4 linked regions of the Drosophila melanogaster genome follow. The protein of the gene in region 1 interacts with the protein of each later gene in a pairwise test. Each region holds a gene or a part of one and is shown in the gene's direction. Other genes may lie near its edges.

Region 1 (6,394 bases):
AAACAGGCAATGAAATGCTGCCAGTTACTTTTGCCAAGGAATTCCAAAAAAGTTCCATGAACCAGTAAATAAATGGGGAAGCAACGTAGCACTGAAAAAAAAGTGTAGTAAAGATTTTATAACTATATTTACAAGGCAAAGGTTCTTCATAAAAAGAAAACTTTTGTAAATGCAAAAAAGCATTGTAGAGTAAAAAACTTTTTTTTTTAATAATTTACCTCAACTTTCTAAAATTTAAATACTGTTTACCTAACTGAACTATCTGCATATCAAATGGCCTATAATTTGATTAATCAAACACTATAGTTACCCTAAAATGCTTTTTAGCCAGCTTTGATTGGCATATTTCATAAATTCATATGCATATATAAATATCTCCATAAAAAATGCAATAACGAAAAAGGGTAAAAAAAAAATGCGCATTTCAAATTATAAATTCAAATTCGAAGAATTTAATCACGTATACGAATTTTTCCTGTGCCACAATACGAAATAATAAAAGTGCCTCAAAAACTTTGAGCCCCTGCCCCGCGAAACCAGGACCGCAAATTGTTTAAAACAAGCATTGAACAAAAAACTCAAGAAGCAACACAAACAGGCGGCTCAATTCCAGGAATAAAGCCGAAGGACATTGAATAAACTGTACGGTGAGGAGGTATGAGTGGGATGTGGGGACGGTAGGGCAATGGGGGACGACACTTGGCATTAGGGCCCAAACTATACAGCCAAGGCCAAGTTTTGGGCCAAATCTTTGTGGGGAGTGGACCAACAAACGAGGACGGAACGACCATCGGCATCGACGGCCGAAAGGCAATGGAACCGTAAATTCTATTGCATGACTTGATTAAATTCGCATGCAACGATGACCGTCGACCCCGAGTCACCCACAACATCGGAGTCCGCCGTATCCGCCGAAGCCTCTGAGTCCCCCATTAAAAAAAAAAAAACCCACCTCCGAGCGGGTCAAGCAAAGGCCAGCGACGTTGCCAACTATGCCATAGCTGGAATTTCTTGGCTATTTGCTGGCTGCCTTGGCTTCTGTTTTTGCTGGCTGCTGGATTTTTGCCTTTCCTTCGACCGTTTTCTCATTTTAACGTTTTAACGTGACTTAATGAAGTTTCAGTGTCACAGCAAAATCTGCTCCTGCTGCTCCTGCTGCTCCTCTCCGCCTGTTAATTTTATGATGGATTTTATGCAGAGCGCGCCAAAGAAAACTTTGAACTTTAATAAGTATGTGTATGCAGGCATTTAACTTTGCCATCGTTTTGTCGATTTTTTCTACTCACTTTTTTTTATTTTCTGTTCTTTTTTTTTTTAGTAGATTTTTTTCTTTACACATTTTGGCCATGTTAAGCTGGGTGGCTAGCTGGCTGGCTTCTTTTCTATGGGAACTTTGCTAAAATATGCTTCACAGGGCTTGAAAGCATTTGAAGTAATGAAAAAGAAGCGAAAAAAATTGCATCCAACAAGTATAACACACACACTCTCGTTCCAGGTGATATGGATGGGGAGGTTTAACTGTACAGTGAAGCTGCGCAAAATTTAACGAAGCTTAACCTCATTCAATGTGAAAATACACTTTACTTGTACTTTGCGCTGTTATTTCAAAAGTGCGGTGACGGTGGGCGTTGCTGCTAACGCCGCTCTAAGGGGGCGTGGCTAAGGTGGGTCTATATATATACAAATATATATATATATATGTATATAGAGAAAGGTGGCGATGCGAACCTGGTGAACTTTGCAAACTTAAATGCAGAGCAGAATGATGAATGATCCAAGGATGCCAGGCTAGCAACGAAAAGAACTCGCTCTATCTCCGTTTTTCGCCGACTTTCCCTTGATTTCCCGCCAGAGGCAACTACTCGCAGAGAAAATCACAAATATAAGATTAAAATCGGAAAATAACACTACAATACTTTAAACGAACTACGAATGGCAGAAAACACAAAAATGGTAACTAAGGTATAATATATCTATGTATCACATATTAAATGTATCTTCAATTCTACAAACCTGAATATAGAAATATTATAATCTTATATCAACTATTTTGCTGAGTGCACTATAAAATCGCTGAGAATGCTATTCCCGCAAAGGTTCTTTAAAATTGAATCACTTTAGACCCAAAGTGCATTGTCAGCTTTGAGTGAGTGAAGGCGTGGCTGGTAAATTATGCAAGAGCAACGATACCAAATGTCGTCGAATGCATCCAGATGAAAATTGAAAGTGCTGCAATCCGAGATCTCAGACGCGTTTCAAATCTCCGGCGATTGCACTTGGCAAAGACCGGACCGCAAGCACATGAAGCGCACGTCACCATTTGTGCAATCAAACATCGGAATGGCCGCGACATTGACCGCAAGCTGCCACACAGTGTGAAATCCGATGCGGCTGGGAGCCAACCGGTGCACAGTGGTTACAGCTATGTTGAAAATTATCAAATATTATGCTAGCTTAAAAAGGAAGCAATATTTATGCACTCAAAACAAAACTTACTTAATTTAATAACTTCATTTTTACCATTTTTATCACATCCACAATAGATTTTCTTTTTTAATTTTTGAGCCCTATTAGACCACAGTGCATAGGTCGATGTGCATTGCGGGCTAGCAATTGCGGTATAGCTGCGTATTTTGTGATTGCGAATTGTGCGGACAGCGGATCGCCGCCTCACTTGCATCTGAAAGGAACAACCAGAAAGGGACTATCTGGAACAGTTGGTGTGTGCCGCCGAGTGAAAGTGAGTGCCTGGGCATGGGCTTCCACTTACACAATCCATGGTGGATTGGCCAATGAACTTGAAGTGCCAACGAGGATATCCAATTACAAGTAGAGCGCTCCAAGCATTTGAAGAGTGTGTGTGTGCTATAAAAACAGCATCGCGATGTCACAAATTTGCATTTCAAAGCGGAGCAACACCCACGCCAGCTGCATCCAAACACGCACTCCGTTGGCGGATTGGAACAAAGGATATAGGACACAGGAGTTCAGGATTTCAGGACACACACAACCACCCAACGTTATGGGGCGGCCAAAATCCGGCCAAGGCTTTGGGTCACCTGCCACCAGTTCATTAATGATCTATGCATTAATGTGGCTCGCTTTGGCCATGACAATGGAGGCCATAGATGCCCCACTGCCCCTATCCCTGGCGGAGTACCCGCTCGGCCTGTCGCTGGAACATGGCAGCAAACACCATTACCAGGATGCGGGTGTGGACTCGTTGCCGGGATTAACAGGATATACGCGAAATTATTATGGCCCCACTGACACTGCAGCCGGCGATGACTTGGCAACATATGGAAATTATGCTCACAAACTCCTGGCCGCCACCCATCAACAGCACCATCGCCATTCGCAATCCTCCCTTGGCACCACGGCCAATGGCTTTGTGCCCTTCTACTACAACAGCAAACTGCACTCGCCATTCACCGCGGATGAGGAGCCGCGTCGCGACCCATCCGCCAATATCGATTTTGTCATTAATACGGCAAATTATGAGCCAAATTCCGCTGGCTACGATGTGGAGCCACATCATGGGGAGCAGCACTACGAAAGCTATGCATATCGGCCGCGGGTGCAGTTTGCCACATCGCTACCCGGTCCCAGCGATTACCATTTCGAACAAATTTCCAATTACCGGGAGAATCGCCAGCGGGAGCAGGAGGTGGAGCAACATCAGCAGCAGCAGCACCAGGAGCAGGAGGATATTACTAGTATCTATGCGCGGCTCAAAGAACTCCAGACACCGGCCAATCCAGTTAAGCGTCAGCAGGAAGAGTCCCTATCGAGTCATCATCCAAACCGGGAGCAAAGCCAGCCACTGGAGCAGCGACATTATCAGCAACCTGAAAGCAGACAGCTGCAACAGCCACACTTGCAACAACATCTGCAACAAAAGCGGCCACATGCGCTGCAATATCCTCAGGATCAACGGCATCACCAGCGCCTGGGAGTTGCCCAGGACCAGCAGATGTTGTACTCTCACAAGGATAGCCAGATTGCAGATCTCCCAGCCATAACCACCAGTGTGCACCATACTCCGGAGAGCAGTAAAGCGGTAGCCGGATTGCCGTTGGCCAAGCACATCGAGATCACTAAGAGTGTGCCCATCACCCACTATCAGAAGCAGCATGTGCCCTTCAAGCAGAACGTCCAGGTGCAAGTGCCACGAACCGTGATCGCAGCCATACCCAAGCCCATGCCCATCAAAATACCAGTGGCCCAAACGGTGGCCGTGCCCCAGATGCAAGAGGTTAAGATTCCCATCGAACGGGTGAAGCCGGTGCCCGTGGAGCGGCCCATTCCCTTTGTGGTTGAGCGCAGGGTACCCTACCGAGTGGAGAAGCCGGTGGTCTCGCCAGTTTATTATCCGTATCCGGTCAAAGTGCCAGTGGTGCGCACGGTGGTGCACAAGCAGCGCCCCCACTACGTGGCACCCGGCTGGAGTGCCAACGGCAATCATCTGCTGGGATGAGTCTATCTTAAGAATAAATTCTTAAGCCAGTTTTATACCCTTGCAAAAGGGGTTTTTTGATTTGTAAAGTAAAAGTACAAACTGTAGGGTAGTCGATAAATATATTTTTGGTGGAATGTTCTTAAGTTGAATTAAATACATTTATTAATTTTTCATGTTATGCAGTTTGATTAACGGCTAGAGTATTTCAAATTCAGCTTATGCCTTAATTTCTAGTGACTGAACCCCAAAAAGTAATTGCAATTAGCAAAACAAGAAGACAAAAAAGGCCACCGACAGCAACTGCAGTGTGGCTGCAAAAGCATCCAGCATGCAACTCCTTGATCCCAAATCCAAGTTTCTAACTCCCAGTTAACAGCTACCAAACAAAACAACACATTCGGAGTCGAAGTTGAAGTTGGAGTCACAGGGCAGGTCCCAAACCGAAATGAAGAAAAGTAGCCGAGTAAAACTTTTTAATTGAGCTAAAATCCAACAAATGCGGCTAATAAATATGTATTGAAGTGCGATGGGCAGAACGAGGCTGAAGTCCGGTTGCAATGCAAAAGGGGGCTGCAGCGAAAGTGCAAGAAAATGCAGCGGCTAATTGCCAAATGTAACTCCAGTTGAAACAACTTTTAACTGAAACAGCAGAAGGAGCAACAATGACGCACAAATAAACGCGACGTTCAACTTCGCCGAGGCGTTAACGAAACAGCAACAAAATTAGCCAAAAAGTAAAGTTCCAGCAAGGGTCGCGAAAAGTCGGGCCAGTAGTTTCTGGTTGGGGAAAGTGCTGCAAGTTATTGCCGGCTAATGAAATTAGCCCTAATTGACGTGGGAGCCATTCGACTCCATTTTTAGGGAGGCGAAGTGAGGAAGAACTCCGCACCCACCACACACAATATATGTAATATTCGGCAGCAAAGGAGAATTTAAGGAAAATGTTTGGGGAAAAATGAGTTCAAAGATTTGGGGTTTAAAGCGCTTTGACTACTTACTTAATACTCATTACTCAGCCACCTAGCGGTAGACCAACAAACCTAAGCTTACTGAGTCCTTCTTTTTCTTGGGAAAATTAAACGTTGGAAAATAGTTGCATTACTTTTCTAGCTGTGTACTAAATTTTGTAAATTCAATTCGTTGCAGGCCACATTATTAGCATTTATAAGCCACATACCTATGCTGAGGAAAACCGCAAAGCGACGGAAACCAACTAAAAATCAAATATAATAAGCATGCGTGCAAATCAACGCTTTTCCGTGAATCCCGCTGCTACACATGTAGTTGTGCAGTGGGTATGCAAATAGTAAATGGCGCTTGCAGCCGAATAAATGTGCATAAATTCATAATTGCACTGCCCACATTAACCGCTTCGTTAGGAATTTTGCTCATCTGACCACTGGCCACCACAGCCGGCGGCCGTTGGTCCCGTTTTCTGGCCACCGTAGCCCAAATCCAGTGTCTAACGTCCGACATCCAGGACTTCCCACTTCGCAGGCCAATGACAAAAGCCACAAAACGCAATGAACATGGCGCTCCGGTTAGATAGTTGACCGCGAATCTGCTGATGAGTCCCTCGTTTGTGCACATGTACCCTTTAACCCCGTAGCCGTTTAAACCCATAACCCTTTAACCCTGCCGCTGACATATACACATGCACATGCCAGATCAACAAATTGAATGCGATTGGGTGACAAACGACTGGGTAAAATCACCGGTTTCGATTGTTATAACACCATAGGCCAGTGGTCAGTGCATAGTGATTGCATTTTATAAATATTTCATTTCACTATAATATACTCCTAAAGCTCAGAACACAATGGAAATAAAATCCAACCAAAGTAAATATATTTCTTTGAATTCGGTTTTTTGTAAAGCCCCAATTAAGCTCTCAGCATTGAATGTATGACGCAAATATAATCACATGATACATCG
Region 2 (10,417 bases), on another chromosome or scaffold:
TAGCGAATTCCGAAAAAACACTTTTGGACCAAATCGCTTCGCTACAACAGCAAATAAAAACCCTGGAAAAGGAGGCGGAGAATACTGAACATAGAGCCGATCTATGCGATGCTGAATGTGATTTTGGTGATCTAGATTCTATTGATGAATTGATGAATAGAGTTCAGGCTGTCAAAAATAAATTAAATAATTGAAATTCAAAGATAGTCATGATGCTTTAAAGCCAATATAGTAATAATACCATATAATATTAATATATACTAAGCATTAATTTAAGTACTTGCTTAATGACATTTTTAACATCGTTAAATATAATTAAGCTTTAAGAACATCTTTTGTTCATTTGTGCATAAGGATCAAACAAACGCAAAGTAAAAACAAATTTCAATACATCTTAGGTCAAACCTATAAACCTTTACTTTAGAGTTCCTAATCGGCTTCCTCGTTATTGCAATTTGTTGTTGCATTAAATGAATTAAAAATAACACCCCCAAAATATAGTTTGATTTTATCATGAAACCTGCTTACGTTTTACTACCAAGATGAACGTGTCAGCATAGCCCGCTTCAATTTGAAAATTCCGCTCAATTTTTGACATTTGGCAACACTGTATTTTGGCTAAAAAAATAATCGACGAAGTCGATAGTCCCAACAAGCAATCGATGTTTAAAAAACATTGGCGAACGAGTTGCCAGACCATTGATTTTCTAGCACGTGTGATACATTCATTTAATTGTTATTTTTATGCAGCTTAACTTGCTATTTGGACCATTAAGAGAATAGGAATGCGTGACAACACACCGCCACACCGGCCAGATTTCGATGACGGCGACGACGAACTCCAGGAGATAATTGAGCTGGAGGAGCAGCCGCTGGACGAAGATGACGACGATTTGGAGGAGGTGACGCTGGAGCAACTGGAGGCCCGGCTTGCAATGGCCGGTGGCGATGATGATGAAGAGGAGGACGAGGAGGAGCTACGTGACCGTGAGAGAATAGCAGCCATCACGGACGAAGCTACGGTCACTTTCAAGAAGCACACCGCTCCTGTTTTCGCCTGCAGTCTGCATCCCAACTACAATTGGGCGGTGACGGGCAGCGAGGACGATCGAGCTTTCGTTTGGGAAACCTCCACCGGCGATGTCCTCTACGAGATCACGGAGCACAAGGACACCGTCACGGAAACGCATTTCAGTCACGACGGCGTCTATTTGGCCACCGGTGATCTAGCCGGCGATCTGTTTGTCTTCAAGGTCAGTGAAAAGCACGACGAACGTCCGATCCTGACTAAAATCTGGGAGTACTCCATGAGCGACATGTCCTGGCTCTTCTGGCATCGAGCTGCCCACATCCTGCTGGCGGGTAGTGACAGCGGAGAGGTCTTCGTTTTCCGCATACCCAGCGGTGAATGCAAAATCCTGCCGGGACAATCTTCGCGTTGCGAGTCCGGAGAGCTCAGTGGGGATGGCAAAAAGCTGTTCACGGCCTACGTGAACGGATCCGTAAAGCTGTGGGATCTCAAGAGCTGTCAGGTGCTCATTGACGTAAACGAATCGCATCCAATGGGTTTCGGCGAGATCACGCACGCGGTGGTGGCCTGCGAAAGGGAATCGCCCTTCTACGTCTGCGCTGAGGCGTCCGGTGAGTGCTCCAGTGGTAAAGGAATTCGGTATAATACCAGTTTCCATAACAAAACTATTAGTAAAAGCAATCATGTTCTCCATTGCATATAAACGGCAACTAATAGATTTATTTTCGTTCAGGAAAAATGCTGTTCTGCACTAACAACGGTCCGGTTAGCACAATCCAGTCGGAACACGGAATTGAGTGTCTGGCCTTTGCTCCCTCCTCGGCGGATCTAAAGCTCTTTGCCTGTGGCTCGCTGGACGGCAGGATATCCATCTGGGACTATGCCAAATCAGCGTTGCGTACCATATGCGAAAATCCAGTTCCCAATGATGCTGTCATAAGGTGAGCACCGCATAAAACTGTAAAAAATATTATAACTTTGATTTAACTTTTAATTTGGTTGTTGCTTACTAATTGCATTAATTATTCCAGGATCAAATGGTTGAACGACCACACGATACTTGCGGCCACCTCGCAGGGAAATCTGAACGCATTCGACGCACGCACAGGAATTCTGAAATTCACGCTGACGGGACACTACTATCACATCTACGAGTTTGTCTACAAGCCTCAGGAAAATCTATTGCTAACGGTATCCGAGGACAACACGGCCAAGATATTCAAGGTGCCGGCGCTGGGCGATTAGTTAGGTTTTAAAGTTTTGTACTGTGCTATATATATGTAAATAGTAAATACATATTAAAATTTATCTCAGTAGCCTGGTGCAATGAACCCATGTGGCGGTCCTGATACACTTGCCCCATATATGTACAAGAAAAAGGGGGGAGGCACAGGGCTGACTAAAGATAGAACACACAAAGAAGGTTACAGTTTGGGGTAACAAAATAGAACTGAAAAGGATTCCGGTTTTTTTGCATTGTGTCAAGAATATTATACTATTTGAAGTTTTTGTAAATTGGTAAGGAAATTTAATTTCATGCTGTCAATTTGGGTTAGGAAAAGAATTATTGTTTTTTAACTTTTTAATGGGTCAGAACTATGGTTTTAATCGGAAGCGTATATGAGAAGTAAGTGCATTCTAAATGCAACTGCAACGAATTCTCTTCAATATCTGGTTCTCTTAGGGAGAATGTGACATGCGTATTGCATTGGGAGCACATCCAAAGAGACAAACACTTGTTTATGTTTTTGTTTGTCGGTTGTCGTTCACCTCCGACATCCACACACATACACGCACACAAAGGCGAACAATTGTCTAAAAAATGAAAACGAATTTTCAGATTTACATATTTATTTACCTTTCTGTTGTATTATATTATTAAAGCTTTTTCGGAAGAGCGACCCACGGATGGAATTCTCGACTCAGTCTGCATCGGGTTATCAGTGCGAATGGGTAACGGTTCTCCCTCTATCGGGTAAAAAAATAATGCTGAAACGGTTCAAAACGTAGTCTCCCAGGGATTTTAACTGCGTGAAAATATCATAAGCAAATATTTAAAGCGCAGCGAGTGAATATTTGAATTACATTAAATTTAATAAAGCAATAGCACAAAGTTCTGCAGCTATAAATAAAACTTACAATGTTCATTCGCAAGTTTGAGTACATTTATATTACCCTGTGGAATGGTAATCACGAAAACTTATGACTCGTGGCATTATATGATGAAGCCTCACCGAAATATTAACGAAAATTGCATATGGAAGTGATCCATCATATTTTTCTTTTTCAAAATATACACATTAAGTGCGGCGCGGGGGAGTTAAAAAAAAGTAACAAGAAAGAAAGGGTTAATTTTGAGTTCTAAAATTGGAATACCCTATAAAAACTATGAGAGAATTTACAAATCCTGTGCAAAAGTGATCATATCCGATTTATTAAAATTACAATCAAATTGAAATGAAAAATTCAAAAATAGCAGAATAAAATAAAATTAAACTTAAAAAAGATCATATATTTTAAAAATTAATCAACTAGTTAAGACATCCGTCTGAATAAACATTGAAATCTGATGAATCAATAGATGTTAATGACATGTATATGTCCATATCCTTCTTCTTGAGCTTATAGCTAGAATACCCTCCGAAAGTGTATTAAAGCTGATATCCCGCAGCTACGAGGCGACAATAAAAGTCACACGAAATCACAGTTAATCAACCACAAACGGGGGCCCGAACTGATCCACCGAAAGCACTGTAATTGTGGCTGTGGCGACACCACCACACCGGCGAATAATACAAAAAAAAACAGCGCCCTGTGTGTCTCTTTTACAATTAGATTACCAGAGGAGCTCTACGTATCCAAAATGATCCCATCCCGCTGGCTGAGCCACTAAACTGAGCGGAGGCGCTACACTTGCTTTGTTTATTATTTGTAGTAGTTTTTATGGCGGTCGCGAGGGAGGTAAAGATGGGCAGCTGCTAATCCATATAGCCAGTCAGTCGGTCGGGCACTAAAGGTTCACGATTCACACAATTGAATTATCACAGTTTGAAATGTCAAATGCACGCGCCTGGCGATGATCCATACCCACCCCCCACCCCACAATCCACCAACGAAACTACACTTCATGATAATCCGCTCAAGTGTTTAACAAAAGTCGCTCGGTTTGCATTAATGAGCATTTTGGCGCATAAAAGACCGCCGAATCCATTGGAGTAATCGTCGTCAAATGAGCAACAAAAGAAGCCTTATATTAAATGGGGTCTCCGTTGGGTAATCTAACTAACTAATCCGTAACTCTCTTCAGCTGCGGTTAGCCCCATAAATCTCCATACACAAACGGCTGTAAAATTAATTGATATTTGATTTACAGTTACAGTAAAAGAAAAAAAGTATTAGATTAACTGGGATTGCGGCTTCTTATCAACGACTTCCTCATTTTTGAAGTTACAATTTTACCGGAAATCGCCGCGCATACAGTAGACATTGCCTAAGGGATACATATACAATATTTCATATATACATATTTCAAACAAATATTCTAAACTGTCTTAAAATGATCATATATTAGCCTGATTTGCAATCGAACGATATTAATTGTATTGTATTTAGTTTACGGTCATCTCTCCTATCGAAAGCTTTTATTCCGTGTTAACACAATGTGACATTTAACCTTGTTACAATTATTGTGCACACAAATAGTTTGTGGCAAGTTTCACTTGCAGTATTTGTCCCACAAAGCCGTTAAATCAGGTGCAATTAAAGGCTTAAACAAATCATTGAGCTAATGTCTTTTGGCACATGGGATAGCCAGTGACAACAAAGTGGCTAAAGATTTCGACAAAATGCGCACATATTTAGGACCCAAACAAAAGGTCAATGACTAAGGCGAAAGAGAAACTAACTTAAGAGATTGCCGGCGACTCTCTCTTAGGCGACCGCACGTGCTTTATTTTTGGCACACAATCGTAAACTTCTCAAACTTCTTTGGCTAGCGAAATGTTTGAGGCGTCTTGCATCATGCGATTTGCCGCATGTTTCGGTGGAAAGTTGGTTTGGCAGGTAACAGGTAAGATGTTTATGGCCCAAAAGAGCGCGAGAGAGCAGCAGCTGCTTTCCGCGCCGCCTTACCTAAATGGAATAAAAAAAAAAACCAGTCAAATGCAAAGCCCAAGTTGAGCGAGCGACAGCCGTTTTGCTCATAAAGGGGGGTAAATTCGTATTCCAAACTTAGTTTGAACTCAGAGCGCGTCGCGAGCAGTGCGTTCCATCCGATATTCTGTCGGATCTTCCGGTTTTTCGGTTTCCCAAATTTCATAATACCCAATCTCATCTTGATTCGAAGAGATGAACATGATAGAACCACGTGGATTCTAATACCTTATCGTCTTTAAATATATAGAGCGAGCCCTTGACAAATGTGTGCGTTTGTGTACTGAAGCGCACATTGGAATAAGTGAAGTGGTGAACAAAACAGAACTGAAATCGGAAAACAACAGAAACAAATGAATAAAACCATGTGGACTCAAACGAACTGAACTGTATTGGAAGCTCCACGCTGGCACATGTCTAGCCTGTGCTGATAAAAAAAAAGAAAACGAAACCGAGAAAAGTACGAGAAACCCCCGATAAAAGCAATGGACTTGTGTACATAACGACGGCCAGTCACTGTAAATCGGAAGAGTTACCCTATAAAAATCATAAAAATTCAAAAAATATTCCGTATTCCAAGAACCACCCATAAAAAACGCCGCACATCTCCCGAGCAAAAAATGGCGCGAGTTCAGGCCAGCGACTCGTTGATTCCCCGCCAGGTGTTCGAGGTTCCTCCGGCGGAACCCAATAATTCCACGGCGGACAGCGGCAGTCAGGGTTCCGGGGTAAAGCTAAAGAAGCAGATCGGCCTGCTCGATGGAGTGGCCATCATCGTTGGTGTAATTGTCGGATCCGGCATCTTCGTGAGTCCCAAGGGAGTGCTCAAGTTCTCCGGCTCCATAGGACAATCCCTCATCGTTTGGGTCCTCAGCGGAGTGCTCAGCATGGTGGGCGCCCTATGCTACGCCGAATTGGGTGAGTAATGCTACATGTAAGGGGTAGCTTTAGGAATTTTTCGGTTTTTTTTATAGTTTTTGTTTTTGTTTTTCCGATAATGAGCCCACGCCTATTCAAACAATGTTCTGCGGAGCTGGCAGTTATTGCTTCCCGCTGATGACAGCAATCGGTGGGTCAACATATGGTATGTGTGCGTGGATGTAGTGGGAGAGTTGTTTACATAGGTGTAAGACAAGCACCTGTAGCAAACACAGCACAAATTTGAGAAAAAAATGGAACAAGAGCTCTGGTCGCCCAGAATGCTTAAGTCAGTACTAATGGGCTAAAGAGGTTAAGGCCAGAGATAAGCTATATATATCAAGCACCAAAAAAATCAGTTCAAGATTACGATTTGAGTATTTTAAAATAAGTTTAAGCAACATGTGGTACTTAAAGTGCTACAAATAAACAGCACACAGTTTTTGTACTGTAGAAAGAAACAGGAAAATTCAGCTTATTTCCAATTAAAATCGGTCCAGATCCAAGACCCAGAAGCGGAAAATCTCTATGACCTTTGGTTCGAACTGACAATCTTTTGAGATTAACTACTCCAACCAATTACCATGGAGACACATTTAAGGCATGGAATTAGCTCGGTCCCATTAAAAATGCCTCTTCAAGTGGCACACACAAAAATTAAAATCAGTTCCAGCTCCCCAGCAAAATGATGAATTAGAATTGATAGTGGGACCGACGAAACATTCAATTATCAACTAATTAGCACTTGAGCCTCTTCAGAAAAGTACAGGATGCTTCAAAACTTGGAATAAGTATATTCATATTATCGGAAATACAGCGAGTGTTCTTTGTTTCCTGGGGTAAATTCAAATGTTCAACCCTCTCTATTGAAATTCACATACATATATAACCGAAGGTATAAATTTACCTTTTCAAGATCTGAAAACAAATAGAAACTTGAATGGAACTCTCTTAATATCTTTGATCCACAACAAAACTTAAGAGAATCAAAGAAAAAAGTCTTATCGCTTTTTCTCTCCTTTTACGTCATCTTTGCTTATGGCTTTGTAATCATTATTAAAACACGTTTTTTTTTAACAATCAGCCAGGCAGACACTCATTACCATACATTTTCGGCAGACACAAATTAGCATAATTTTTAAAGTTTGCTTTTCGAAATATCAATGGAAGTTCAATCTGATCTGATCAGAATGTTTGAACATATTTTTGAAAATCAAATATTTATGCTACCTTTTTCTAACTTTTCATGTCAAACTATTTAAGTACTAAATAAAGTTCCATAAATCTTAATGAAGTGAATGGACAGAGCAAATAAAATAAAATTATCACCAATTACTAGGATGGTCGTAAAAAATGGAATAGTTAGTACACGCTTTTTAAGCGTTTCCAAAATTTCTCCAATTGCTGGAACAACCCTCCTTAGATAGGCAAATGCATACCTCAAAGCATTTTCAGAACTGTGTCATGCTTATCAGATTGTCAACGTTTGCTCTCTATTAGCCTAATCACTTTTTAAACATTATTCTCTTGGGATGTTCCCCGTGAACTACGCCGTAATGAGCAAATTTTCTTCTATAACTAATATTTTAACTTTTCCAGGCACGATGATACCCAAATCAGGCGGAGATTATGCCTATATAGGCACTGCATTTGGTCCTCTGCCTGCGTTCCTTTATCTGTGGGTGGCCCTGCTGATCCTGGTGCCCACGGGCAATGCGATTACGGCTCTGACTTTTGCCATATATCTGCTGAAACCTTTTTGGCCTTCCTGCGACGCGCCCATTGAAGCTGTTCAGCTGCTGGCGGCTGCCATGATATGTAAGATTCGCTGATAGCTAATCGGTGGTGAGACTAGGCATAGACTATATTGACTAATTGCTTGATCTTCCACCCTAGGTGTGCTGACGCTTATCAATTGCTATAATGTTAAGTGGGTTACGCGTGTGACGGACATCTTTACGGGCACCAAGGTGGTTGCCCTCCTGGTGATCGTTGGCGCCGGAGTCTGGTGGTTGTTCGATGGAAACACAGAGCACTGGGATAATCCCTTCTCGGGAGGCCTTCAAGATCCTGGATATATAGCCCTGGCCTTCTATAGCGGCCTCTTCTCGTACTCCGGCTGGAACTATTTGAACTTTGTAACAGAGGAGCTCAAGGATCCGTACCGAAACCTGCCCAAGGCCATTTGCATCTCAATGCCGGTGGTCACGGTCATCTATATGATCACGAATATTGCATACTTTTCGGTTCTCTCGCCAGACGAGATCCTTTCGTCAGATGCAGTGGCAGTCACGTTTGGCGACAAGATGCTGGGGTATATGTCCTGGATTATGCCCTTCGCTGTGGCCTGCTCCACTTTTGGTTCGCTGAATGGAGCGATCTTCGCGTCCTCGCGACTTTTCTTCGTCGGTGCAAGGAATGGTCACCTGCCGGCCGCCATTTCGCTGATTAACGTTAATTGCCTGACACCTGTGCCCTCGCTGATATTCCTGGTAAGTTAGAGGCTTAACCTAAGTAAAGAATCTATAAATATTTGTTTTTATCAAATTATCATGTTCTTTTCTTTTTTTAATTTCCCAGGGCGTGCTCACCTTGCTGCTGCTGTTCATCGAGGACGTCTACGTACTAATCAACTACGTCAGCTACGTGGAGGCGTTGTTCACGCTGATCTCGGTATCCGGACTGCTGTGGATGCGCTACAAGCAACCCAAGACGGAGCGACCCATCAAGGTCAACTTGGCGCTGCCCATCATCTATCTGATCGTCTGCCTGTTCCTGGTCATCTTCTCTTGCACGCAGACGCCATATGTGGTAGGAATCGGGACGATCATTATACTGTCTGGAATTCCGGTCTACTACCTGACCATCCACAAACCGGTCAAATGGCTGGCGGACACTTCGCAGGCGATCAACCTGTGGTGCTCCAAATTCTTCATCTGTATGCCCAACCAGGAGAAGTTCGACTAGGACTGCAGGACTCTACGACTTTGGGAAGAGAGGGCCTTTTGTGGATGTATCGATCAACGCAACTATAGAAGGGAATATCTTGTAGTTAGGATAAGTCTCAATTTACCCCTAAGATAGGTTAGCAACGCGAAATTTTGAAAACCTACGCACAACATTACAAAAGTGTTATTGTAAATAACTCAAATGCATTCTGGTAGGGAAGTCCCTGCTTCAATTAATATTATTTGTTAGTCGTACTTTTAATGTATATTTCAAACCCAAAAAAAATGAGTTCCTCGTCGAAAGCAGAAGTACGCCTGTTATACAAAATGCGAACCAATTTTTACATATTATACAAGTAATTAGGAGCTTATTCAGTAAGTAATAATTATTATTGATGCAACTTTTTGCGAAATGTAAAAAATCGAATTTGTTTTGTATAAGAAAGTTAATAATAAACACATTAAACTTTAATCTTATTACTTTTTGTGAAGTGGGCGGAAATTGGCATTTTAAAGGTAAAAAAGTAACTTATATCATTTCGCATGGTATCTATTTAAAGTATCATAATTATCTACCACAATATTTATTAATTTTTTTAAATATTTTCATTTTCTAGTTATTTTTCCTACTCCAGCGAGTTCTAAAACTCACTACTTGATGAAAGCGCCTTTACAACGCCTTTAGGTATGCAATCTTTTTCTTCATAGTTACAATCTACCGGATAGTTTTTAGTATAAAGTATTGTTGCTTAATAATAACATTTAGCCAGATTCTTAAGATTATGAAAGGAAAGTGTAAAACTTTAGTATTTTCAATTTAAAGGCTGAGTACACTATTTAATGTGAGTTTAGCCGATGAACAGGTTAATCGACTTTATTAATTTTTGGCGCTCAAATTTGATGGTCCGGCGAAAGCTTTTCCAAAGCTCAATCCAAATGACAGTTAAGTTTGTAGCGAGTGCGCAGAGCGATGAGTTGCCCGCCCAGTGGGCGAAGGAGAGAGGGAGAAAGGAGAACGCGCCGACGCTCGTCGAACCGAAAGTCGTATAAAACGTTGCGTGGGCGAAACTGTCATTTCAAAAGACCGTTGAACGGGATCGGTAGTTGGCTGCAGTGTTACGGATCGCACGCGTCTGTAAAAACTCGAAAAAATCCCGGTGAAGCCCCCAGTGAAATGACGAGTGACCAGTAGATAACCGGGTTCAATAAAACGAATAGAATAAAACGAAAAGAGAAATACTATCTACCACCACCTGAGTGTTCAGTCCATTACGATGGCCCAAAAGCAGGTGCTAGTCTTAAACCTATTTTGCCTGGGCTCACTATTTTTCAAAACAGTGCCAGCTTCCACGGAATACAACAAATACGT
Region 3 (6,029 bases), 5.1 Mb from region 1:
CTTCCAATGGACACGATGCGAATGCCAAAGGCTAGTGAAAAGATTCGCAGCAGAGCTGGGCTCGCAATTCGAGATCTCTCCTCAGCTCTCTACACTTGAAGCAATTCCCAAGATCGACTAAATATTTATTTTTGAATAGGTTATTTTCTGGATGTTTTCTGTAAGTGCAAGTTACGTTTTATGAGAGCAAGATTTTATTGAAGAATCAGCAAACAAATTTGCAATAAGTCTTGAGTTTAAAATATGCGATAACATTACTTGTATCATCAAAATAAAATACGTTTATATATTTACTCCGCCCAGTTATCTTTGAAACTTTAAAATAATATATATTTGTAGTTTGTACATTTTTGAAATAAAAAATACTAACATTACTAACAGAACGTTTTATTCTCAGTGTGCTTGCGCTCCGTGGCACTTTTCTCTCTTCGCTCCCACCACAGTTAGAACAAAACTTGAAATTTCGCTGACTCCGCGAGCTCAGTGGAAGAATTCACAAATTGCAAAAATTTCAATTCAAGGTTGTTGCTCTCTGCGGCTGCGATAACTGGCAGGTCGGGTATTTATTTTCCTCTGTTGGCTTGTCAAGTTCTGGCTTCTTATTTCTGCTGCTTTGCTGGCTCGCGTCATGTTTCTGGCTAAAAGATACTGACTGTGTTTCTGTTTCTTCTTATCCACAATCAACAAACATTTCTAAGGGGCTTTCAAAAATACTGGGTTACGTGATACTGGGTAGATGAATAATCCGTATACAGCAAATCTTTCCAGGTTTACTCTATCTACATATAACTAACTCTTGATTTCATTTATTAACAAATGTAACCATTTTTAGTGTTTCCAACTGTTGTATTGCGACCATTGTGACAATTTAGATGGTTCATAGCATCTTCACTACAATTTATGAAAGTTTTTACAACTCCAATTGTCTATTATCTAGTCCTATGAAACCGACATTCATTATTACGGATGGGTGGACTGACCACAAAGTTAAATTAATATTTAATGGCACAATGGAAACGGGTTTCCGTCAAACAAATCGATGGCGTTTAACGGAAAGTAAGTAAAGTCCGGGCTGCGGATTCCGATTCCGTGAGTATAGAGGCGGGGGAGGAAGAAGCAGCAGAAGCGGTGGCGGCAGAAGAGAGCCAAAGCCAAAAGAGAATAAAAAGCACAATAAAAACGCCGGTAAAGGTCATCAACCGGAAGAAAAGCGCCCATGTGTGCGTGAGTGTGACTGGCCAGTGTTTTTGTGTGAGTTTTTGTATAAACGAGTGTGTGAAAGTCGAAATCTTGCTGCCAATTATCATTATGACCATCTATAAATAATTATGTATTATGGTCGAACAGCATGCAAAACACGCTGGCTGCTCGGCCTCGTTACAGCCAACTGACAAACTGGCAAACTGACATCGAACTGCACAGTTGGCCTAATTTTCCCGTTTTTCTTTCTATCTTTCTGTGCCGTTGCTTCCCTCCCTCCCCCTTTCTTTTGCGGCGCCCCAGTGTTCAATTAGCTGCCTGCTCACACACACACTCGCACTTGCTGGCACATGGAATTTCTCCCCTGTTGGTGAGCCCCGGCCAGAAATGCCAAGTTGACCATTTTCTGGCCTTTGAAGGCAGCGTGTTTGAAGTGGGTCAAGTATTCGCCAATGCGATTACATCTCTTCAAATGGAAATAAAAAAGTTATTGATCCTCGTAACTGTGTATAATTATTAAAGTCCTTATGCGAATTATAAATGTCTAGATTTGTTTCTAAAAAAAAATTGTTTTTCATAATCAACTTACATATCCTAATAACTTCTTAAAACTGAAAACTTCCAATCTATCTAAAATTTAACCGGGTTCTCCATTTTATATTATTTTTGTTCTTTCATAAAAAAATAATTTGAAATTATACTTTTACTAGCTTGCTTTCGCAGCAGCATCACTGATAACGGTGCAAGTGCTTTCCTCGCTCTCTCTGTCACCGCTGAGCGAGAGCGTACTCGCACTCATTCATTATTTTTCATCTATTTATTCATAAATGCATTTTTTGCCCCTGCTATTTTCAGCGGCTCAAGAGTTTTAATTTTAGAAAGCACTGCTCCCTACTTTTCGTCTTTTTCTCCCGTAATATTTATGCAACATGCAATGCTGCTTTATTTATCTCTGTGGGAAAGAAAGCGTGGCATGTTTTTTGCGGTGTGTGGTGTCTTCTTGTTATTCCTGCGTGGGAGCGTCAGGTTCCAAGTTCGTTTCCCTAATTTTTTCTTTTGGTCCACAGATGGAAGGTTGGTCTAAAATGTGGAGTGACTCATAAAGGCTATAAATAGGCAAATTGATATTGTCTAAAGCTGGCGGTTAATGATTATTGATTGCTGACGTAGACGTCGATAGCATTTGTTGATTGTCAATTGGTTTTCCCCGATGACGAACGATTTTTGAGTCTATGATTTATTGGACTGCAGCTGCTCTGCTCCGCTCTCTCTTTTGAGCTCTGCTCCGCTCTCGCTCCTTTGATAAGCCCGCATATGCTTATGTGTGTGTGTGTGGTGAGGTCAGCGCATCAATTATGCTCATTTCTTGTCTTTTTCTTTGATAAAATCAGCGAACAACAAATGGGAAAGGGCGGGGGCAGGGCCCCGGCCAGACGGCGGCGCCCGAGATTTTTGGCAAATCAAAGCAGTCAGCTGTCCCCTTTGCTCATAATTAAGCAATGGGGAGCAGTGAAAGTGTGTCGACTACTAATTGGCACCTTGAATAATTGCACACCGATAAATAAAGTAGTGGCTTCCTTTTTCCTCTCAAGACAAAAGGGCGTCGCACTGCACTTACACACATACATGTACACCGCTCTCCCCTTCTTATCTCCAGTCTCTATACTTCTAACGCTGATTTTCAGCCGATTTTAAGCCACTTGCAACGTCAACAATTTTCACAACATTTCACATTTACAATGCAGTCTTTCTTTTCCTTCTTCTTTTCTTTTTGTTGGAAACGCATCCGCCATTTGCAAGCCACTTGTGTATGTGTGCCGGAGCGCTGCGCCTGTTTGAGTGTGTGTGTGTGTTGGGTTGTCGCGTCGACAGTTTTTTCATCACTTTGCTTGGATTTAGATACGCTTTATCAAACCAGTTCTTACTTGCAACTGTTAAACTTTTTCTCAACTTTCTTATGCCTTTCGGCTGCGGACTTACACTTTTTCGTTAGTGGGAAAATTGAAACATTTGCAAACAGAGTGACCGTGGCGACATACTCCAAAAATCGCGCCAGTCACATAATAGTCCTAAATTTGGACAACTAGCGATGACTCAAGCCGCCGGATAAATGCGCTATGTTTTTGTAGCCGAGACACGCTACGTGGGGAGAGCGATGTTTTTATCGTGGACACAAACCAAATTGAAATTCTTCACCGAAGATTTTATCGCGACTGTGCCATGGTCGCACTGATTAGCTCACCGAAACGTTCATTGAATTTGTTTTGATTATCTCGAAATAACAAGCTATTTTCTCAATTTTCCTGACAAAAATGACATCGATTGCCAAGTCCATAGTACTATTGGCATCCCTGGCCACGTTCGCTTACTCCCTGTACGTGGTTGGCAGCCTGATGATGTTCCTTTCGACGCCTCGTTCGATTTCCAAGGCGCACACCTGGATTTTCAATTTACTGGACAACAAGTCGCGCCTGCAGACCGCCTATGGACCCGTGGTGTTCGATACCCTCTACCTGATCGGATTCATCTTCCAGCACAGCTTCCTCAAGTCAGCCGTGGTCAAGAAGCTGTTGGCCAAGTTGGGATTGTCGGGTGCGGAGCGCACTATTTATAGCCTGACGTCATCGCTTTGTTTACATGTTTGTATACCCACAAATTGGACAGAAATAGCTCCCAACTGCAACTTTGGACATTTCAGTATTTGATCGTCAACTGGCTGCCCGCTCAGTCGATTGTTCTGTGGCAAATCGATGTGGAGCAGAGTGCTCCGCTTTGGTGGACCTTCGTGATCACCCATGGCATCTGCTGGGTTGTCATCTTTGGCGGCAGTTTGGTGATGGATCTGCCAGAGCTGCTGGGCGTCAAGCAAGCCTACTACGATCTGAAGGCCTACGGACCGCCCATCAGCTACAAATCCGGGGAATTGCGCAATCTGTACGCCCATGTCAGACATCCCTCGTTTGTGGGCCTGTCGGTCATCCTGTTCGCCACGAATGTGATGAGCGTGGATCGGCTAGTCATGGCCTTGCTGCTGACCACCTACATGTACCTGGCCTGGTCCACAGATCAGAAGGATGTGGCCTATCAGAAGATTCAACTGCAGCGCAAGAAACTCGAACTGAAGGCCAAGTAAACTTAATCTCAAAAGTGTTCTTACTAAGATCTAGTTGTAAGTTGACATGAGTTTGTATTGAATAATACTTTTCTAACAATTTCAGTTTCCGAATCAGAACGAAACAAATAATGAAAAAACTAAAAGATATATAAAAATATATATGGTTCAGTTTTTACTATTTTACTACTATTGCTAGCTTAATTAATTATTTTAAAATTTAACTCATTCTTACGATAGAAGGATCAAAGGGCTGTCCTTTAAACGGCGAACCTTCGGCATCCCAGGCAGCTTTCAGGCGATCCAGGTTTATAGCTTGGTCGGGACTTGAGGTCTGAATTTCATTTTGTTGCTTGTCTGCTGCCAACTGCTGGACCCTAAGCTTTTCTATGGTGGCCTGGGTTTCCTCCGGCAAATCATCTATATAGCGTTCGCATTCAATCTTCTTGGAATCGATTTCTGGATCACCTTCGAAGAGCCGATCCCACCAGAGCTCCTTTGCTTTATCTACAGTTATATACAGTTTATGAAAATGGTTTATAAAGATGTTTTAGGTGAATGCCCACCGTAACTTATGATCAATCGGTTCTGATCAATTGTCCACACCGCCTCCTTGTGTTTAATCCGCTGGCTCAGGTTTCCCTCGAGGATGATCGTCTCTGGGCTATGCTTGCTGCTCACTTTGATGTGCTGGGCCTGAATTGAAATGTGCAGCTTCTTCGCCGTTTGATGATCCTTGGGAAGCAGAGCCTGCACCTCCACATCCTTGAGGGTTTGTGACCAGCAGTGCGTTTCGAACACATCTCCGTTTTTGTAGTCGCTGGGGGAGAACTTTGACTGCTCCTTCCCTTTTTGTGGCGGCTGGCTCTCTATGGGTTTCATTTCCTCGTCCTGAGGACCATCTTCGCTTTCCAGGACCACTTCTTCGACGGCAGGCGGAGCCGTTTCTCCATCATCTGCACCGCCTTCCGCGGTCAGGGATTGTAGCAAGCAATCCGGATCGTAGCGCTGCATGGCGCCATATAGAATCTGATCCCTCACGCCTTTGGGGAAGCCTATTTTATCCGCTTCATCGCGTTTTGTGTGATAAAAGTCGGTGCTAAAAAGGGAAGTGGGACTACAGTTTTGTTAAGGATCTTGAGATAAAATCTTTTACTTGCGTCGCAGAAATCCGAAAATGGAGTCCAGGAAACCTGTAATAGTTTTCCGATCCTGCAGAATTTCCATGAGCATAGCATCGTTTCGCTGAAAGTCCATTTTTGTAAGAATAGTAACCGGCCGCTTTTAACTTAACATCTAATGTTCACGTCTATCGATAACAATGCATTTAAATCGGCGATAGCTATTAAAAAGATAGATACATATTAAAGATTTTAGAGTGTGGTCAACATATATAATATTAATAGGAATCTAGTTCTATTAGAAAATAAGGTCAATAAAGCATTTGTTGATCGAATTAACAAAAAACCTAGTTTAGTTAACACAATCAAGTTGGCAGCCCTGCGACAAACTTGGTATATCGATAGTTGTCGCCTTATTTTCCAAATCCATTCCCAAATTGTTATTATTGAAATAATTTTAAAAATGATCGGTAGACTTTCTTTTTGGAACAAGGACAACGTTTCCAACGAGGTGGACTGCTTGGCCTGCCGTCTGGTCAGTGGCCTTGGACTCCTGGGAATTGGTGCCTTCCTATTGGCACAGTCGAAAAAAAGAC
Region 4 (8,802 bases), on another chromosome or scaffold:
AAATATATATTTTTTATTTATTTTAATTTTTTGATCTTTTAAATATACGAATTAACTTAACCAAACACACTTTTTAGAAAATATTGATAATTTCGGGACTTTACGTTTGAGAAAACCAGACACTGCTATTTTAATGAACAGCCTAAAAGTTGTGAATTTGCTCAAGAATGTAAATAAAATAAGGAGAACACGAAAAACTAACGGGACTTTTTTTTTCTATCTAAACATTCCATTTTACAAAAAAAGGTGGAATAAAAGGTCGATCCCGAAAAGGGACATGGAAAAATACCGTTGTATTTCTTAGTTTCTCTTGCACTGCTATTTCTTTGAATGTACAAGTACTTAAAGCAACCATCAAATCGATTCAAATCAAGACATTATGTTGACCTTTAATGACATATTTCTAAATCGCATTGCAAATTATCTTTTAAGTGAATAGGATTTGATGTTTTTGACTATATTCGAATTAAACAACATAACATTAAACTTCATGCTACTGATTAACTGCCTTCACACCAATTTATCGAGCTTTCATATTGAATAAAATGCGTATTCACCAAATATGCAGATACATAACACATGATGATTTCGGGGATAAGGCAGTGAGTAGAGTTATACCAGGGGCCCAGCATACAGGATTCGCATAGAGATATTACTGAAAACCAAGAGATCAGCCACCAAACTTAAGAGTAATCGACCAGGAGTGGGTGTATCGTAAATCAAGGTACATCTTATGAGGTAAGCAAGGTGTTACTCACTCCGTATCGGCTGTACGTAGGTGAATCATAGCTGGACCCGCTCAGATACGAGGAGGTGCGGTAGGCGGACGAGCTGCTGCCGGATCCGCCGCTCATATACGACGTTGACGACGTGGTACCAACGCTGCTCCTCTGCACACTGGAGCGCGGCGCATACGAGGCGCTTGAGGAGCCGCTGTTGGCGGAGAACGTTGAGTAAGAGGTGGGATAGTAGCTGCTGCCGTAGCCCGACGAGTTGGAGCCGCCGGACGAGGTGGGCAGCCACTTGGACAGACTGCTGCCGCGGTCGTAGCTGCTCGATATGCGGGAGTAACCGTTCGTGGCGGCGCCTCCGCTGGTCCGATCCACCGCACCGCTTCCGGTGATGCTGATGTGGTGACTGCCGCTGGTGGAGTTGCTGCTGGTGGTGCTGCCGCTGGAGGTGCCGACCGCCGATGTACCGTAGAGACTGCCGCTGCCCGCCGCTGACGTTGACGATCTACGCGGCGCAATTACACGCATATTAATGGCAGCAGCGGCAGTGATCAAGCCCCGGGTTCCGGATGAAGTCGAGAGTGTCCTTGGTCTGCTGGCAGCACGTGGTATTGCTGAGCGGATGATTCCTGTTTTGTTTCCGGTCTTGCTTCGCTTTCTCTGTTTTTCGTGGGCTATACGGCGGAATTCAGTTTCATTAATGGAAATCACAGCGTCAACGTGTCCATGTACCCACCTGCGTCACGTTATTTACATTATCATCGCATTATATCCCTAGGATTAGGTTAGTTTTAAACTTAATGGCTGCATATGTGCTACATCTAAGACCCGTTCTTGTTGCTGCTAAAGTTGTAGGCGAAACTGAAAAGAATGGAATTTTAGAAGGCCCTATTTATCAAATTAATTCGAATTCAAAACCTCATACTAATCGGACCATAATATTCTAACTTCTTTATCAAAAATATACCCAAAAGATTGGAAAATGCCCAGTGTAAATGATCTAATGAGGGAACATCTTTTAATCAAAACCACATTTTTATGACGGTACTTTTAGTAGTGCAAACAATTCTAAATTGTCAAGACCTTGTCCGTTTACATTTGATTCACTTATTGGAGAAATGAAGGCTTGCAGGCGCAAGGTTATCTTGAATTCTGCATAAGATAATGCGAAACCCTTCAAGCGGAACTCCTCGTCTTTCTTCCCCTTCCCACGATTGATTTTTCACAAGCGCAAAAAACACCCACGCACATCTCGGGAATTTGTGGCCTTCGATTTGTCCCTGATGAACAGTTAGGCGGAGAGTGGAAAACCGATCGACACTTGTTTACAATCGCAAAATAGTAATAAATAGAGAAAAGCCGTTTTCAAGTTTGCCATAACAACAACTTCAGTGTGACGCTGGCTGGCTGAACTGGGTAGGGGCGGTGTGGGACGCGGACGGCTGTCCTTATGCGGTAACACTTAAAATGAAGTTACGTTCGTGTGTGTGCCGCCAGGCTGTCTACGCTCCCATTCGAGAAAACCGTTGCTTTTACATACATACATGCACAAGTGTAAGGCTCTGCGGGTGGTGTAGTGCAGGGGGATGGGAGAAGCGGGTGGTAGGCCTTAACTAACATAAGATGGCCACACTTTCACGAATCGATCTTTCGTTCATAAAATGCTACAACTACACTACAGCCCATTCACACACATTCACTTAAAAAAATTGAATTATCCAAGCTCACACAATCGCACGCGAGTACCCACAGGTGTAGCTGAACTTTTTCAACGGTTACCACGATTAGCCGCTTTCTTTAGACACAAAACTCATACATTCTTTGCACGTCAAAATCGAAATAATTGTGATAAAAGCAAAAACAATATATAAAACGAAACGAAATGAGATTCTATTTTTAAAAGGTGCACTCACACACGCGCGTACGTTTGGCAGTGAAATGTGTGAGGGAGAGGGGGCGAGCCAGGGTAGTAGTAAAACAGTGCCGAGATTGTGCGCGCGAGCGATGTAGCACTATTGGCTACACGGTCACACACACACACACAGGCGCCAGGCAGCGTACGAATTACGCAAAGTGAAATATCTTTCTCAAAATGGAAAGTGGAAAAGTGACGACGACGGCTATTAGGAATTTTTCATACATCCACGGAACACAAAAAATGTACAAAGGCAAATGCGTATATAAAGTGTATAAATTCATACTAAGATAGAAAACAAATGGGCGAGGGGATGGGTGGCGAAGGTGAAAATTTGACCGCAAAACGAACATCACGAGGCGAACGAGGTCGCGCTGCCGAAAGTCCCGTCTCTTAATGATATCCCACAAATTTTAACGCCAGCCAAGCGACATCATCGTTTTGCACCGCAAAAGGGCCTTTTTCCGGTCGAATTAAAGCAATTTTTTTTTGCACAACACAGAACTCACTTTTTAATCCTATTTTTTTTGCTAGTGTGGCCGCACGCCGAAACGAAGTCACCGTCACTAGATTTTGAAGATAGGTTAACTGTTCTTCGATAACTATCGAAGAACTATGCCTGATGCATGTATGGTTGGTGTACTTGCTAACAGATGAGCAGAGGCCTTCTTAATGTTCCATTTACACAGAATTCCATCATATGGGATTTGAAAAATATGCTTCAAACTTAATAGTTTTTGCACAAAACGCCAATCGAATTATATTTCCAGTTCCAGGGAAAAGATTTCTGGGTGGAAATAAACACACAACTTTCAATTCTTAATTAGACTAAAGTCAAGCCTAGAATATTATATATTACAGTTCAATATAATTTAATACAGAATTTTGTTTTAAATAAATAGTATTTTGTTTATCTGGTATATAACAATGATTTTGCACAAGGTATTTCTTATAGCTATCTGCGCGGTCACACTGTTTTTGTGTGAAAATTCTGTCGAAAAGAATGTATTAAAAGTTCTTTGAATACTAATTCCGTGTAATTCCGACCGTGCTGTTTCAGAAAACTGTGGTTGGATTGGAAACTTAACCAAATTATAAGGTAAAACCGGGGCAGCTTGCCCATCGAAGGACCGCCACAAACGAATTTTCGCGTCGCATTACGTTTTAGTGTTGCCACCTTATACGGAGTGCCGGGCACAATTCCACTTGCTGGCCAAACGGATGCGTTGCGGTCGCGATGTGCACGCCGTTGAATTAATTCCTTCGCCCTGTTGATTGAGTACAGTTCGACTTCTCCGATCGGTGTCCTCCAGACCTAAATTTCGCCGGAATAACGACGGCAAACGGACGGACGGACTCTAGTCGGAAAACGGGCGAGCTGGCAATACTGCCAGTGCACAAAATGATGTGAATCTCGGAAAAGAGGAAAGCTACAGGAAAAGCCAAGGAAAAGCAAGCCGGTAAAGTGTGCAAATGCGAGTGGCAAGCAAAGACCTTTGTTTCCCATTCCATGAAGTTTTCTTGAGTTGTCCGCTGCTGTGAGTGGTCATTATCAGCCATCATCATCATTGTCGTCATCATCACCAAAGGAGCTCGTCGTCATTAGGCCGGCCACCAGCTAAACGGCATTGAGAAAACTCAGCAGCACCTTGTCATCCAAGTCTTGATCTTCGTCTTGGTCTGGATATCCGTATCCAATCACACAGTTCAGGTGGGTTCTTGATCCAGACTCCGAATTCGAATACGAGTCCTAGATTCTCATGCTGATCCTTTTCCATATCTACAGTTATGTCCTCGACCGCCGGAAAGCGCAAGGAGATCTACAAATATCTCGCGCCATGGCCACTGTACTCCATGAACTGGAGTGTAAGGCCGGACAAGCGATTCCGGCTCGCACTGGGCAGCTTCATCGAGGAGTACAACAACAAGGTACAGATCATCAGCCTGGACGAGGACACCAGCGAATTTAGTGCTAAGAGGTATACCGAATATTTGTTTAGCTGATCCCTTCTACTTTCTGTTTTCATTTTATATTTCGTATATTATCTTTAAAAAATAATATAAAATGATAAGCAGTTTTGATATTATTGTAATCATTTTAAATATGAATAGTTATTTGGTTATACGAACCATTTTTCCGAAATCCCCTTCCTCACTGACAGATTATTTCTTCTTCAAATAGCACCTTTGATCATCCATATCCGACAACCAAGATCATGTGGATCCCGGACTCCAAGGGTGTCTATCCGGATCTGTTGGCCACCAGTGGCGACTACTTGCGGGTGTGGCGTGCCGGGGAACCGGACACGCGGCTCGAGTGCGTACTGAATAACAACAAGAACAGCGACTTTTGCGCTCCCCTCACTTCGTTTGATTGGAACGAGGTGGATCCCAATCTGGTGGGAACCTCATCGATAGACACAACCTGCACTATCTGGGGACTGGAGACCGGACAGCCGCACGCTCGCGTCTATGTGGCAGGACACGTGAAGACGCAATTGATTGCCCATGACAAGGAAGTATACGACATTGCTTTTTCGCGGGCCGGCGGCGGTCGGGACATGTTTGCCTCGGTGGGAGCGGACGGGTCGGTGCGCATGTTTGATCTGCGGCACTTGGAGCACTCGACCATTATATATGAGGTAAGTAGAACGCGCGAAAACACAAAAACGGATGACTACATAACGATAAATCCAATAGGATCCTGCTCATACGGCGCTGCTGCGCTTGGCCTGGAACAAACAGGACCCGAACTACTTAGCCACCGTTGCCATGGACTCGTGCGAAGTAATAATTTTAGATGTTCGTGTTCCTTGTACACCCGTTGCAAGACTGAGCAATCACAGAGCGTGCGTCAACGGTATTGCGTGGGCGCCGCATAGGTGAGACTATAAGATTCCTTAAACCTAAAATGTGCCTAAACAATTTGTATTTTGGTTTGCAGTTCCTGTCACATCTGCACTGCCGGTGATGATCACCAAGCACTGATCTGGGATATACAACAAATGCCACGTGCAATCGAGGATCCAATTTTAGCCTATACAGCTGCCGAGGGCGAAGTCAATCAGATTCAGTGGGGTGCCACACAGCCCGACTGGATAGCCATTTGCTATAACAAAGCGTGCGAGATCCTGCGGGTCTAAGTAATTTTTTTTGGTCTGGTCCTTGCTGAAGCACCTGACTGCAATTGCTGAACAACGCACAGTCAACAAAGAAGCAAGTCAGAAAAACACACAACACCCACAAATAAACATACATTTGCTGTTGGTAACTTGGAAGCGGAAAGCAGTGAGCTTAAGTTGGATTAGTTCTGTCAACACGCGTCCGCAGTTTGTTTAATTTTACTGTCTGTCGAGAGAGAGAAAATGTGAAAGTGACGGATATAGAGGCAGAGAAATGGAAAGAGAAAGGGCTTAAAAGAAAGATATGAGTTTGAGGGAAAGAGAAGAGGACGAAGCACTTATTCTAGAATTCTTAGCTGAGTTGATCTAACAAGTATGTAATTATATAAGGTATAACCAAAATATGTTTTATAATTGTAGTTTATTTCACACTTGACAAATCCCGACACTCACACCCCCGAAAACTCCAATCAATTAGAGCCGCTTAATCTTTTTTATTTCGTTTTTATACGAACCCAAATGGAATGCAGAAGAAAAAGAAATCATATTTATTATAACACAATGTCCTACCTCGTTTTTTCAAACATGAATGCTGTTAATCGAGTTTTCGAGTCTGGTCAAAACAGCAACAACCACAAAAATACACAGAGAACAAAAAATGAGAGGTAAAAAAGTAGCCGGCAACAACGCTTTTTCGAAATATTTTTACTTTGTTCGATTTTTGTAACAGATCCAAAAAACGGAAAAACGACAAAAACAAGAGATAAAGAAAAACAAAAGCAAAACCATGGACTTAAGCAATTGCAAAACAAACATAATATGAAATGAATTAAAGAAATAAGCGAAATACTTACATAGATTAAAGATTAAAAACCAAACCAGGAAACTGATGACGAACTGCACACAACACAGCTAGAATACAATACTATTTAAAGATACAAACTAAAAGATAAAACAAATACCGAAATATATGAGCGAGAGAGAATACAAGATTGTTGCTATATCCATTTAACAAACGAGCGAAAATAAGCAAACAAACTATGATCATTTCAGATAAGACACGACCCTCCATCAATAATCTCAAATCTTAACCACATCCCATACTTTCCACAGGACAAAGCGACTTTTTCAGATAAAATCGAATACATTTTTTTTATGTATCTTGTAATTTATAGCAATTTCACAACTTATATATAAATATGTATACAGAAAGCGATAGCAGTAATAATAATCCCGATGATCGTGTATTGTAAATACAGCATGAAAGGCATATTTTAAACGAAAACCAACTTAGGCCCTGATTTTGTATAGCCATTTAAGAGGCCACTTCACGGGAATTTATATCCTCATATCCGAATACTTTTTCGTTTGCTGCAGAAGAGTAAGAAACTGAAATCAAGTCTATGGAATTTGGAATTGGATATATTTTATACGCTCGTAGCCACTAGGCGAAGACATTTTCATTAATTTGGCAAACCACGGTTTCCGTAAAAAAAATAATCGAAAAAAAACCAAGTTAGAATATAATTTTTAATTTAATCTTTATTTTCGTGTGCCCTGTTTTGCATTATCCGACTTACGTTACATTTATATATGAAATGTATATGTACACAAACACACACACACACACACACACACACTCAAGCGCATATATATATGAGCATCCGATCGGGCTAAAGTATTTACTAGAAAGCTAATGATTGATCGATGGAATGGATGGATCACAAAAACCAAACAAAACAAAAGATCACTGAGGAGTTTGAGAAAACAAACCAAATCAGACAAATATTTAAATAAACCATTTTTAAATAATGAACACAGTCTCAAATTAAATCGGGAAGATCTTCGGGTGCACAAATGTTGCTGATGTCCACTACTCCTCCGTGAAACGCTTCCTCCGGTTTCCCATCTTTTTTTCCTGCATCAAAAGGGGCGGCAGGGCTACATGAAAAGGTAGCTAGGATTTGTGGTTCATGATATACAATGAACTGGATGAACTTACCTTTTAGTCGGGCTTTTCTTGGCTATCAGCAGCTCGTTAACTTTTAGCTTCTTAAGATTGACCACAAGGTGACCTGTAATCTGGGAACGCTGCACAGTGGACTCATCCGGCTTGACCTCCTCGCTGTACGCGATCTGGAAGATCTTTTTTTTGACGGTGACTCTAGTGTATGTGGTCTGCACATCGACGTCAATTAGAGAGGTATCCAGGTGTCTGGGCGAAGGAATATACATATGCAATATTAATTAAGAATTTTGAAGTGTATGTATATGATTGGGGCGTAGAAACGATCAAGCAATACCAATATCGATATACATATGTAATATGTTGGTGATAACTTGTAAGATATGTATAAGTTTGGTTAAGACATCTTAGCCTAGCTTACCTGTACACCTCCAGTTGGAGCAAGTAATGGTCGGCCTCATCCCGAAACTTAAAGGGCAGTTTGGCCTGGTTCAGATTGTAGGGTCTGCCACAAGGAGCGAAGAGGTTGCGCTGTGGCTTCAGAGGGTCCAGTGGGGACTTGGTTTCGTGCCGCTCCCGTCCCAATCGGTGTTGCCGAGCGATCTCTGTGCGAATCTCCGGGCAGTGCTCGCTCTTCGCCTGCCAAAAGGCCTTTATGCGCTCTTCTTCGTCCTCTATGCCGGCACAATGTTCAGCCAGAGCGGACTGCTGCTTCGCCACCCGGATACGCTGCTCATCACGTTCGATGTCCTGTTCTACCTGCTTCTGAACAATGATGGACCGGTTCTTGGACAGTTCCCGCAACGCTCGCAGACGTTCCGAGGGAGTGATCTCCACGCAATCCAAACTGTTCAGCTGTGGCAAGGTGGCCACCACGTAGTCCCTGTAGTGCGGATAATCCACGCAAGGATTACCAATGAGTACCAACTCGCGGAGATTGTAATTGCCACATAGCGACTCAACACTGGTTAGCTCTCTTATAAAGTTTAAAGTAAGATCCAGTTTACTAAGCGACTCACAGCCCTCCAGATTCTCCACTCGTTCTATGTTGTTGATGGCCACATTGAG

The links.
Region 2: the proteins of CG13840 (region 1) and mnd interact in a two-hybrid assay, tested with the Drosophila melanogaster proteins (one large-scale study listed by BioGRID).
Region 3: the proteins of CG13840 (region 1) and CG7655 interact in a two-hybrid assay, tested with the Drosophila melanogaster proteins (one large-scale study listed by BioGRID).
Region 4: the proteins of CG13840 (region 1) and wap interact in a two-hybrid assay, tested with the Drosophila melanogaster proteins (one large-scale study listed by BioGRID).

Annotation. Positions count from the first base shown.
Region 1 is NT_033777.3:22,812,720-22,819,113, reverse strand, and holds CG13840 (uncharacterized protein), read left to right. Parts: upstream 1-2,935; 5' UTR 2,936-3,076; coding exon 3,077-4,477; 3' UTR 4,478-4,631; downstream 4,632-6,394.
Region 2 is NT_037436.4:14,982,150-14,992,566, forward strand, and holds mnd (minidiscs), read left to right. Parts: upstream 1-2,950; 5' UTR 2,951-3,005; intron 3,006-5,262; exon of another isoform or gene 5,263-5,432; 5' UTR 5,433-5,802; coding exon 5,803-6,100; intron 6,101-7,699; coding exon 7,700-7,918; intron 7,919-7,996; coding exon 7,997-8,592; intron 8,593-8,680; coding exon 8,681-9,067; 3' UTR 9,068-9,518; downstream 9,519-10,417. Other genes in the region: CG3349 (uncharacterized protein), read left to right, coding at 1-194; CG5114 (uncharacterized protein), read left to right, coding at 786-1,701, 1,764-1,971, 2,062-2,275; Zip71B (Zinc/iron regulated transporter-related protein 71B), read left to right, coding at 10,323-10,417.
Region 3 is NT_033777.3:17,679,277-17,685,305, forward strand, and holds CG7655 (uncharacterized protein), read left to right. Parts: upstream 1-3,392; 5' UTR 3,393-3,512; coding exon 3,513-3,839; intron 3,840-3,898; coding exon 3,899-4,333; 3' UTR 4,334-4,497; downstream 4,498-6,029. Other genes in the region: CG31251 (uncharacterized protein), read right to left, coding at 4,533-4,819, 4,879-5,411, 5,469-5,569; CG31360 (uncharacterized protein), read left to right, coding at 5,897-6,029.
Region 4 is NC_004354.4:22,450,217-22,459,018, reverse strand, and holds wap (wings apart), read left to right. Parts: upstream 1-3,596; 5' UTR 3,597-3,745; exon of another isoform or gene 3,746-3,959; 5' UTR 3,960-4,357; intron 4,358-4,432; 5' UTR 4,433-4,434; coding exon 4,435-4,625; intron 4,626-4,828; coding exon 4,829-5,288; intron 5,289-5,346; coding exon 5,347-5,528; intron 5,529-5,590; coding exon 5,591-5,789; 3' UTR 5,790-7,574; downstream 7,575-8,802. Other genes in the region: tilB (touch insensitive larva B), read right to left, coding at 7,592-7,709, 7,771-7,983, 8,156-8,802.